Linked DNA regions of Macaca mulatta. The protein of the gene in region 2 purifies or fractionates together with the protein of the main gene of each other region. This does not show direct contact. Links are inferred from orthologs where the notes say so. Each region holds a gene or a part of one and is shown on either strand. Other genes may lie near its edges.

Region 1 (4,381 bases), on a different chromosome or scaffold from region 2:
AACCCTGTCTCTACTAAAAATACAAAAATTAGCTGGGTGTGGTGGCGGGCGCCTGTAATCCCAGCTACTTGGGAGGCTGAGGCAGGAGAATCACTTGAACCCGGGAGGCAGAGTTTGCAGTGAGCCCAGATGGAGATTGTGCCATTGAACTCCAGCCTGGGCTACAAGAGTGAAACTCAGTCTCAAAAAATAAACAAATAATAACTTTTGCCCACCTTGCAGGTCTGTTACAAGGATCTAAAAGGCAACAGTTAACATTTATTTGTAACATGCACCAGGCACATGTTACACACTTGACAGACAGAGTTCCCTGGATTGTTACAAGCAACACTTTGTAAGTCAGAACCTGAGTCTCAGGTCAGGCAACTGTCCTAAGACTATGGAGCTGGGAGAGTGTTAGGACTCAAATCCAGATGTGTCTGCTGCCAAAGCCCAAGCTGCTAATCAGTGAGTTCAACCATAAAAGCTGTTTGCCGCTGGGCGAGGTGGCCCACACTTGTAATCCTAGCACTTTGGGAGGCTGAGGTGGGCAGATCACTTGAGGTCGGGAGTTCGAGACCAGTCTGGCCAATGTGGGGAAACCCCATCTCTACTAGAAATACAAAGATTAGCCGGGTGTGGTGGTGCATGCCTGTAGTCACAGCTACTCGGGAGGCTGAGGCAGGAGAATCGCTTGAACCCAGAAGGCGGAGGTTGCCGTGAGACAAGATGGCGTCACTGCACTCCAGCCTAGACAACAGAGTGAGACCCTGACTCAAAGAAAAAAAAAGGGCAGTTTGCAACAGTAGGTTCAACAAACTTAGGACTCTCTACATATGTTTTCTCTTTCACAAAATGAGTGAGATGTGACCGGGCATGGTGGCTCACACCTGTAATCCCAGCACTTTGGGAGGCTGAGCTGGGCGGATCACCTGAGGTCAGGAGTTCGAGACCAGCCTGGCCAAGTTGGCAAAACCCCATCTCTACTAAAAATATAAAAATTAGCTGGGCATGGTAGCAGGAGCCTGTTATCCCAGCTACCTGGGAGGCTAAGGCAGGAGAATTGCTTGAACTAGGAGGCAGAGGTTGCAGTGAGCTGAGATCATGCCATTGCACTCCAGCCTGGGTAGCAAGAGTGAAACTTCATCTCAAAATAAAAGAAAAAAAAAAACAAAAAACGAGTGAGATGTGTTGATCTCTAAGATGGATTAGATCATGTCCACCTCTAAAATCCCATGACCCTACAAACTCACTGGACCGATTTTCAGAACCCACCACAAAGCTTTGATGGTGTTAACTGCTCCACGCATCTCAAACTCTAACTTCTACACCTTTCCAAGGGGAACTGAGACGTGAACCGTTTTCAGGGCTCACTCATTTCAACACAGAATTTCCAAATCTCATCCCACAACGAAGAGACCCCAAACCCGACGACATCCAGGAAGGGATTCCAAACTCCCATCCTTGCCTTGTACAAGGTGATGTTTGAAGCATGTGGAAAGTGCAATGTGGCCACAAACAGGTGGACATAGTCACTGTTCAGACCACCCTCGTAAATATTCTCTGCGATGATCTTGCTGACGAAATTTTTGCCGGTGCCTGTCCACCCGTGCAGGGAGAGGGTGAGAGGTTTCTTGGGCTTCGGATTGTTTATGAAACCAAACACAGCATTTAAGATGATTTTCTTTGCAAGATGCTGTCCAAAGAGCTTGTTGTCCAGATCCTTCTGCAATGCTGGGGGAGACAAAGCCAATCAGGAGTGGGGAAGAAACAGTGACAAAAGGCAGCCACATTTACAGCCCATGAGAAAGCCAGCAAAGCCGTCTAGCTCTTCAAGCACCTTGTGAAACCTCAAGTACTGCGGTCTGTAAGCTCCTGGCCCAGAGGGGACGGTGGTCCAGGGAGCCCTCCCTTTGCTGGTCCTGCCTATTCTAAAGCCCTGGCCCGGTTCCTTCCCGAAAAGGCCCTTGGTGCGGGTGCCACTGCCACTGCCACTGCCACCAGTTTGCACCTCTAACCCCTGTGCTGCTCCTCCCACCCCAAGGCAGGGCGGGGAAAGAAAGCAGTTTGGTCCCTCCCGGTCGCCTCCGAAGAAGTCCTCACCATCCTTCCTGTCTCCCGCTAGGCTATAAAGGAAGCAGAGCCCACTTCGGAGGGAGATTACCACCGGTCCACCCCCAGCTTAGCACAAAGTAGGCCAACCTGCAGCCCGGCTCCTCAGGTCTCCAACTGAAGTCTGGCCCGTCTGTGGTGGCCAAGGGGCCAGGCCTCATCCTGCAGGGGCCGCTCGGCTTCCGGGGTCCGGCCCGCACGGACTCAGCTCTGCCCAGGCCCGACCCTCCTGGGATTTGATCCCTATCCCGGCCCGGCCCTAGTGCCATCCCCCAGCCCCAGTCCCCGCCCCGATCCCCAGCCCCCAAGCCCCGCTCCAGCCCTAGTCCTAGTCCGGCCCTAGTGCGATTCACCAGCCCCAGCCCCAGCCCGGCCCGGCCCTAGTGCCATCGCCCAGCCCCCAAGCCCCGCTCCAGCCCTAGTCCTAGTCCGGCCCCGGTGCCATCCCCCCGCCTCCATCCTCCATCCTCCATCCCCTGGTCCTAGCCCAGCCCTAGTGCCATCTCCCAGCCCCAGCCTCCAGCCTCCAGCCTCCAGCCCCCGCCCCAGCCTCCAGCCCCCGCCCCAGCCCCCGCCCCAGCCCCCGCCCCTGCCTACCCTCCCTGCTAAGGCTCCGCTTCTGCCCGCAGCACTCGGCGAAGAGGCAGTAGAGACGCGGGTAGATGTAGCCGGTGAGGACGCCGGCCAGGGCCAGTCCCAGGCTGATGGGCTCCACCGCCTGCACCACGGACGGCGCCAGCAGCAGCAGGCCCAACGCGGCCCAGCCCAGCTTCATGCCCGGACCCGCGCCACCCTGCGCGTTCTCGCGCCGACCGCGAACCAGTACCGCCGCCAGACCCGCGCTTCCGGTTCCTCCTCGCGCGGAGGCCATCTTTCTTCAGGGCAGCCCTCCTCCCGACGCCGGCGGCCGCCATCTTTGTTCGGTACAAAGCCCTGTTTTGCTTCCGGAAGGTCGGATCTGCACCGCCCCCGTCGGCCACGTGTTTTTGTTTGTTTATTTTAAAGTAATGGACGTTATTTTTGCCGGGCGTGGTGGCTCACGCCTGTAATCCCAGCCCTTTGGGAGGCTGAGGCGGGTGTATCACCTGAGGTCAGGAGTTCGAGACCAGCCTCACCAACATGGTGAAACCACGTCTTCTACTAAAAATATAAAATCAGCCAGGTGTGGTGGTAGGCACCTAGCTACTGGGGAGGCTGACGCATGAGAATCGCTTGAACCCAGGAGGCGCAGGTTGCAGTGAGCTGAGATCCCACCACTATACTCCAGCCTGGGCGACAGAGCAAGACTGTGTCCCTCCCCCCAAAAAATAATAATGGACGTTAATTTTTAGAACAGATTTACAGAAAAAATTGTAAGAGTACAGAGTTCCCATGTGCCACACCTCCCTGCAATTACCCGTTACTAAATTCTTACATTATTAGTGTATTACATTTGTTAAAATTAACGAAGCACTGTTGTTATATTAACTAAAGTGTACAGTTTATTCGGATTTCCTTCCTTTTACTTATGCCTTTTTCTGCTCCAGGTTTCCATTCAGGATACATTAATTTGTTATGTCTTAGACTCCTGTTAGTGACAGTGTCTCGGCCTTTTATTTTTATTTTTATTTTAGCTGGAGTGCAGTGGTGTGATCTCAGCTCACTGCAACCTCCGCCTCCCAGGTTCAAGTGATTCTCCTGTCTCAGCCTCCCGAGCAGCTGGGATTACAGGCATACACCACCATACCTGGCTAATTTTTGTATTTTTGGTAAAGACGGGGTTTCACCATGTTGGCCAGGATGGTCTTGATCTCCTGACCTTGTGATTCACCCACCTCAGCCTCCCAAAGTGCTGGGATTACAGGTGTGGGCCACCATGCCTGGCCTCAGCCTTTTATTTTTGATGACCTTGACAGTTTTGAGGAGTACTGCCACAATCTTTGGTAGGCTGGCCCTCTACTGGAATTTGATGTTTTTCTCAGGATTAGACTAGCGCTATGGGGTTTTGGAAGGAAGATCACAGAGGTAAAGTGCTATGCTCATCACATTCTACCAAGGAAGGGTTCTTACTGTCAACATTACCTATCACTGTTGGTGCTGACTTGATCACTTGACTGAGGTAGTATCAAGTCTCCGCACCGTACACTTATTCTTCTCCCCACCCCTCTTTTCTCTACTGTACTCTTTGGAAGGAGGTCCCCATGCACAGCCCACACATTAAGGAGTTAGGGATTTTGCTCCACCTCCTTGGGAGCAGAGTATCTGCAGAGATTATCTGGAATTCTGCATGGGAGATTTGTTTTTTCTCCCC
Region 2 (3,644 bases):
CTTGAACCCAAGGTGGAGGTGGCAGTGTGCCGAGATTGCACCACTGCACTCTAGCCTGGGCGCTAGAGTGAGACTCAGTCTCAAAGAAAAGGAAGTTGACCGGGTACGGTGGCTCATGCCTGTAATCTCAGCATTTTAGGAGGCTGAGGTGGGGGATCGCGAGGTCAGGAGTTTGAGACCAGCCTGGCCAACATGGTGAAACCCCGTCTCTACTAAAAATACAAAAATTAGCTAGGCGTGGTGGCAGGCGCCTGGAATCTCAGCTACTAGGGAGTCTGAGGCAAGAGAACTGCTTGAAACTGGAAAGCAGAGGTTACAGTGAGCCGAGATCACGCCACTGCCCTCCAGCCTGGGTAGAAGAGCGAAATTCCGTCTCAAAAAAAAAGAAAAGGGCCGGGCGCGGTGGCTCACGCCTGTAATCCCAGCACTTTGGGAGGCCGAGGCGGGCGGATCACAAGGTCAGGAGATCGAGACCACGGTGAAACCCCGTCTCTACTAAAAATACAAAAAATTAGCCGGGCGCGGTTGTGGGCGCCTATAGTCCCAGCTACTCGGGAGGCTGAGGCAGGAGAATGGCGTGAACCCGGGAGGCGGAGCTTGCAGTGAGCCGAGATCACGCCACTGCACTCTAGCCTGGGCGACAGAGCGAGACTCCGTCTCAAAAAAAAAAAAGAAAAAAAAAAGAAAAAAAAAAAGTTACATAAAGTTATTCACTCCAGTTTCTAGGTTTATCTTTGCAACACCTCACCCAATAAGCTCTCTTTCAACTTAGGATGTCTACCTTCTGCTTTTAATTCAATAGCTTGCTTGAATATAATGAACAACCATAATGACCAACCTGGCAGCCTGACTCTAGATAAAACTTCTATCTGAATACAAACAGATCAATGAAAGCAACTCAAACATCAAGAGGCACAAACCTGGTAACTGGGATTGTCGATCATAGGAGGCTTCCATTTGCCTTTATAATTGGGGTTGTCAATCATAGGTCGCTGCCAGACACCACATCCAGGGGCTGACTCGCATTTAGGGTTGGCAATCTGAGGAGCCTCCCATTCTCCATCCATGTCTTCATCCCTATGGAGGTACAAACAACAAATTATAAACAGGTTCTATGATGCAGGACTATGAACAGCTGGCTGGCCCAGGGCTGCCAAGATCCTGCTGAAATGTTTTCACAGTATCAGACCAGCTTCTCCTGTTTCTGTTTTTCCAGTAATAACAGTTTTTCAGGAAAAATATATTTTTTAAAAAAGAAGAAAATATAATTAAAATTGTCAAATTCTACCCTGAAATTGGGGAACTTGGCTATATTTAAGTATTAAGTTTGACTTCCATAAAAACAGGTAACTTATGCTGGGTGTGGTGGCTCACACCTGTAATCCCAGCACTTTGGGAGGCCAAGGCAGGCAGATCACTTGAGGTCAGGACTTTTTAAGATCAGCATGGCCAGCCGGGCGCAGTGGCTCAAGCCTGTAATCCCAGCACTTTGGGAGGCCGAGGCGGGCGGATCACAAGGTCAGGAGATCGAGACCACAGTGAAACCCCGTCTCTACTAAAAATACAAAAAATTAGCCGGGCGCGGTGGCGGGCGCCTGTAGTCCTAGCTACTCAGAAGGCTGAGGCAGGAGAATGGCGTGAACCCAGGAGGCGGAGCTTGCAGTGAGCCGAGATCGCACCACTGCACTCCAGCCTGGGCAACAGCGTGAGACTCCGTCTCAAAAAAAAAAAAAAAAAAAAAAAAAAAAAAAAAAAAAAAAAGATCAGCATGGCCAACATGGTTAAAGCCCGCCTCTACTAAAAATACAAAAAATACAAAAATTTCCCAGGTGTGGTGACACACACCTGTAATCCCAGCTACTCGCAAGGCTGATACAGGAGAATCGCTTGAACCCAGGAGATGAAGGTTGCAATGAGCTGAAACTGCCACTGAACTCCAGCCTGGGAGATAGAGTGAGACTCCATCTCAAAAAAACAAACAGGCCGGGCGCGGTGGCTCAAGCCTGTAATCCCAGCACTTTGGGAGGCCGAGACGGGCGGATCACGAGGTCAGGAGATCGAGACCATCCTGGCTAACACCGTGAAACCCCGTCTCTACTAAAAATACAAAAAAAAAAAAACTAGCCGGGCGAGGTGGCGGGCACCTGTAGTCCCAGCTACTCCGGAGGCTGAGGCAGGAGAATGGCCTAAACCCGGGAGGCGGAGCTTGCAGTGAGCTGAGATCCGGCCACTGCACTCCAGCCCGGGCTACAGAGCAAGACTCCGTCTCAAAAAAAAAAAAAACAAAAACAAACAAACAAACAAACAAAACAACCTACATAATTAAAAAAGTTAAGTGAAGTTCTTACCAATCCTCAGGTTTCTCTGCGTCTGGATCAGGTACATACTCGGGCTCATCATCTAACCAGCCTTCAGGTTTTGTGGCCTCTTCATCTGGAATCTTAGCAGGGGCATCTTCATCCCTTAAACATAAAAGAAAAATTATGCCAATGCTGGTCACAGTACAGTACCACTTTGTGGATCAGAACAGAGTATTCTAAAAATATTTTGGTTTTAATCGCAAAATTTTAAATAATTCTTCTTAGAAAATTCTTGTAAATCATGTCTGCTAAGGGTCTAGTAAAATAACTCTTTACAACTCAATAATATGAAGACAACCCAATTTAAAAATGGGCAAATGATTTTAATAGACATTTCTCCAAAGAAGACATACGAATGTATAAATATACAATACAAACATATAATAAGCATATGAAAAGATGCTTAACATCATTAGCCATCAGGGAAATGCAAATCAAAACCACGATACCACTTAGTACCAAGATGGCTATAATAAAAAAGACTCATGAAAACAAATGTTGGAGAGAATGTAGAGAAACTGAAACCCTCATACACTGCTGGTGGGAAAGTAAAATGGTACCGCTGACTTTGAAAACAGTTTGGCAGTTTCTCAAAAAGTTAAATAGTTACCACATGACCCAGCAATTCCACTTTTAGGTACATCTACCCAAGAGAAATGAAAATATATATCTATAGCAAGGCAGAGTAGCTCATGCCTGTAATCTCAGCACTTTGGGAGGCCAAGGCAGGAGCATCACTTAAGGCCACACCAACCTGGGCAACAAGGTGAAACACAGTCTCTAGTAAAAAAATACACAAGGCCAGGTGTGGTGGCTCACACCTGTAATCCCAGCACTTTGGGAGGCCAAGGCGGGCGGATCACCTGAGGACAGGAGTTCGAGACCAGCCTGAACAATATGATGAAACCCTGTCTCTACTAAAAAACACAAAAATTAGGTCAGGTGCAGTGGCTCATGCCTGTAATCCCAGCACTTTGGGAGGCCAAGGTGGGCAGATCACCTGAGGTCCAGAGTTTGAGACCAGCCTGACCAACATGGAGAAACCCCATCTCTACTAAAAATACAAAACTAGCCAGGTGTGGTGGCACATGCCTGTAATCCCAGCTACTCAGGAGGCTGAGGCAGGAGAATCACTGGAAACTGGGAGGCAGAGGTTGCAGTGAGCTGAGATCGCACCATTGCACTCCAGCCTGGGCAACAAGAGCGAAACTCCGTCTCAAAACAAAAAAGAAAAAACATACATAGCCAGGCACGGTGGCACATGCCTGTAATCCCAGCCCTCTG

What was found. Proteins that work in one complex are often made in the same cells at the same time.
Region 1: the proteins of CANX (region 2) and TOR1A purify together in Homo sapiens (affinity purification with mass spectrometry; 4 studies listed by BioGRID and IntAct, counting the BioPlex papers as one, with this or other methods). This does not show direct contact. The link is inferred for Macaca mulatta from reciprocal best matches to the Homo sapiens genes CANX and TOR1A.

The regions. Positions count from the first base shown.
Region 1 is NC_133420.1:17,787,371-17,791,751, reverse strand, and holds the start of TOR1A (torsin-1A), read right to left. Parts: upstream 2,916-4,381; 5' UTR 2,867-2,915; coding exon 2,689-2,866; intron 1,714-2,688; coding exon 1,448-1,713; intron 1-1,447. UniProt on the Homo sapiens protein: Protein with chaperone functions important for the control of protein folding, processing, stability and localization as well as for the reduction of misfolded protein aggregates.
Region 2 is NC_133411.1:188,708,465-188,712,108, reverse strand, and holds part of CANX (calnexin), read right to left. Parts: intron 2,463-3,644; coding exon 2,349-2,462; intron 1,078-2,348; coding exon 921-1,077; intron 1-920. UniProt on the Homo sapiens protein: Calcium-binding protein that interacts with newly synthesized monoglucosylated glycoproteins in the endoplasmic reticulum. It may act in assisting protein assembly and/or in the retention within the ER of unassembled protein subunits.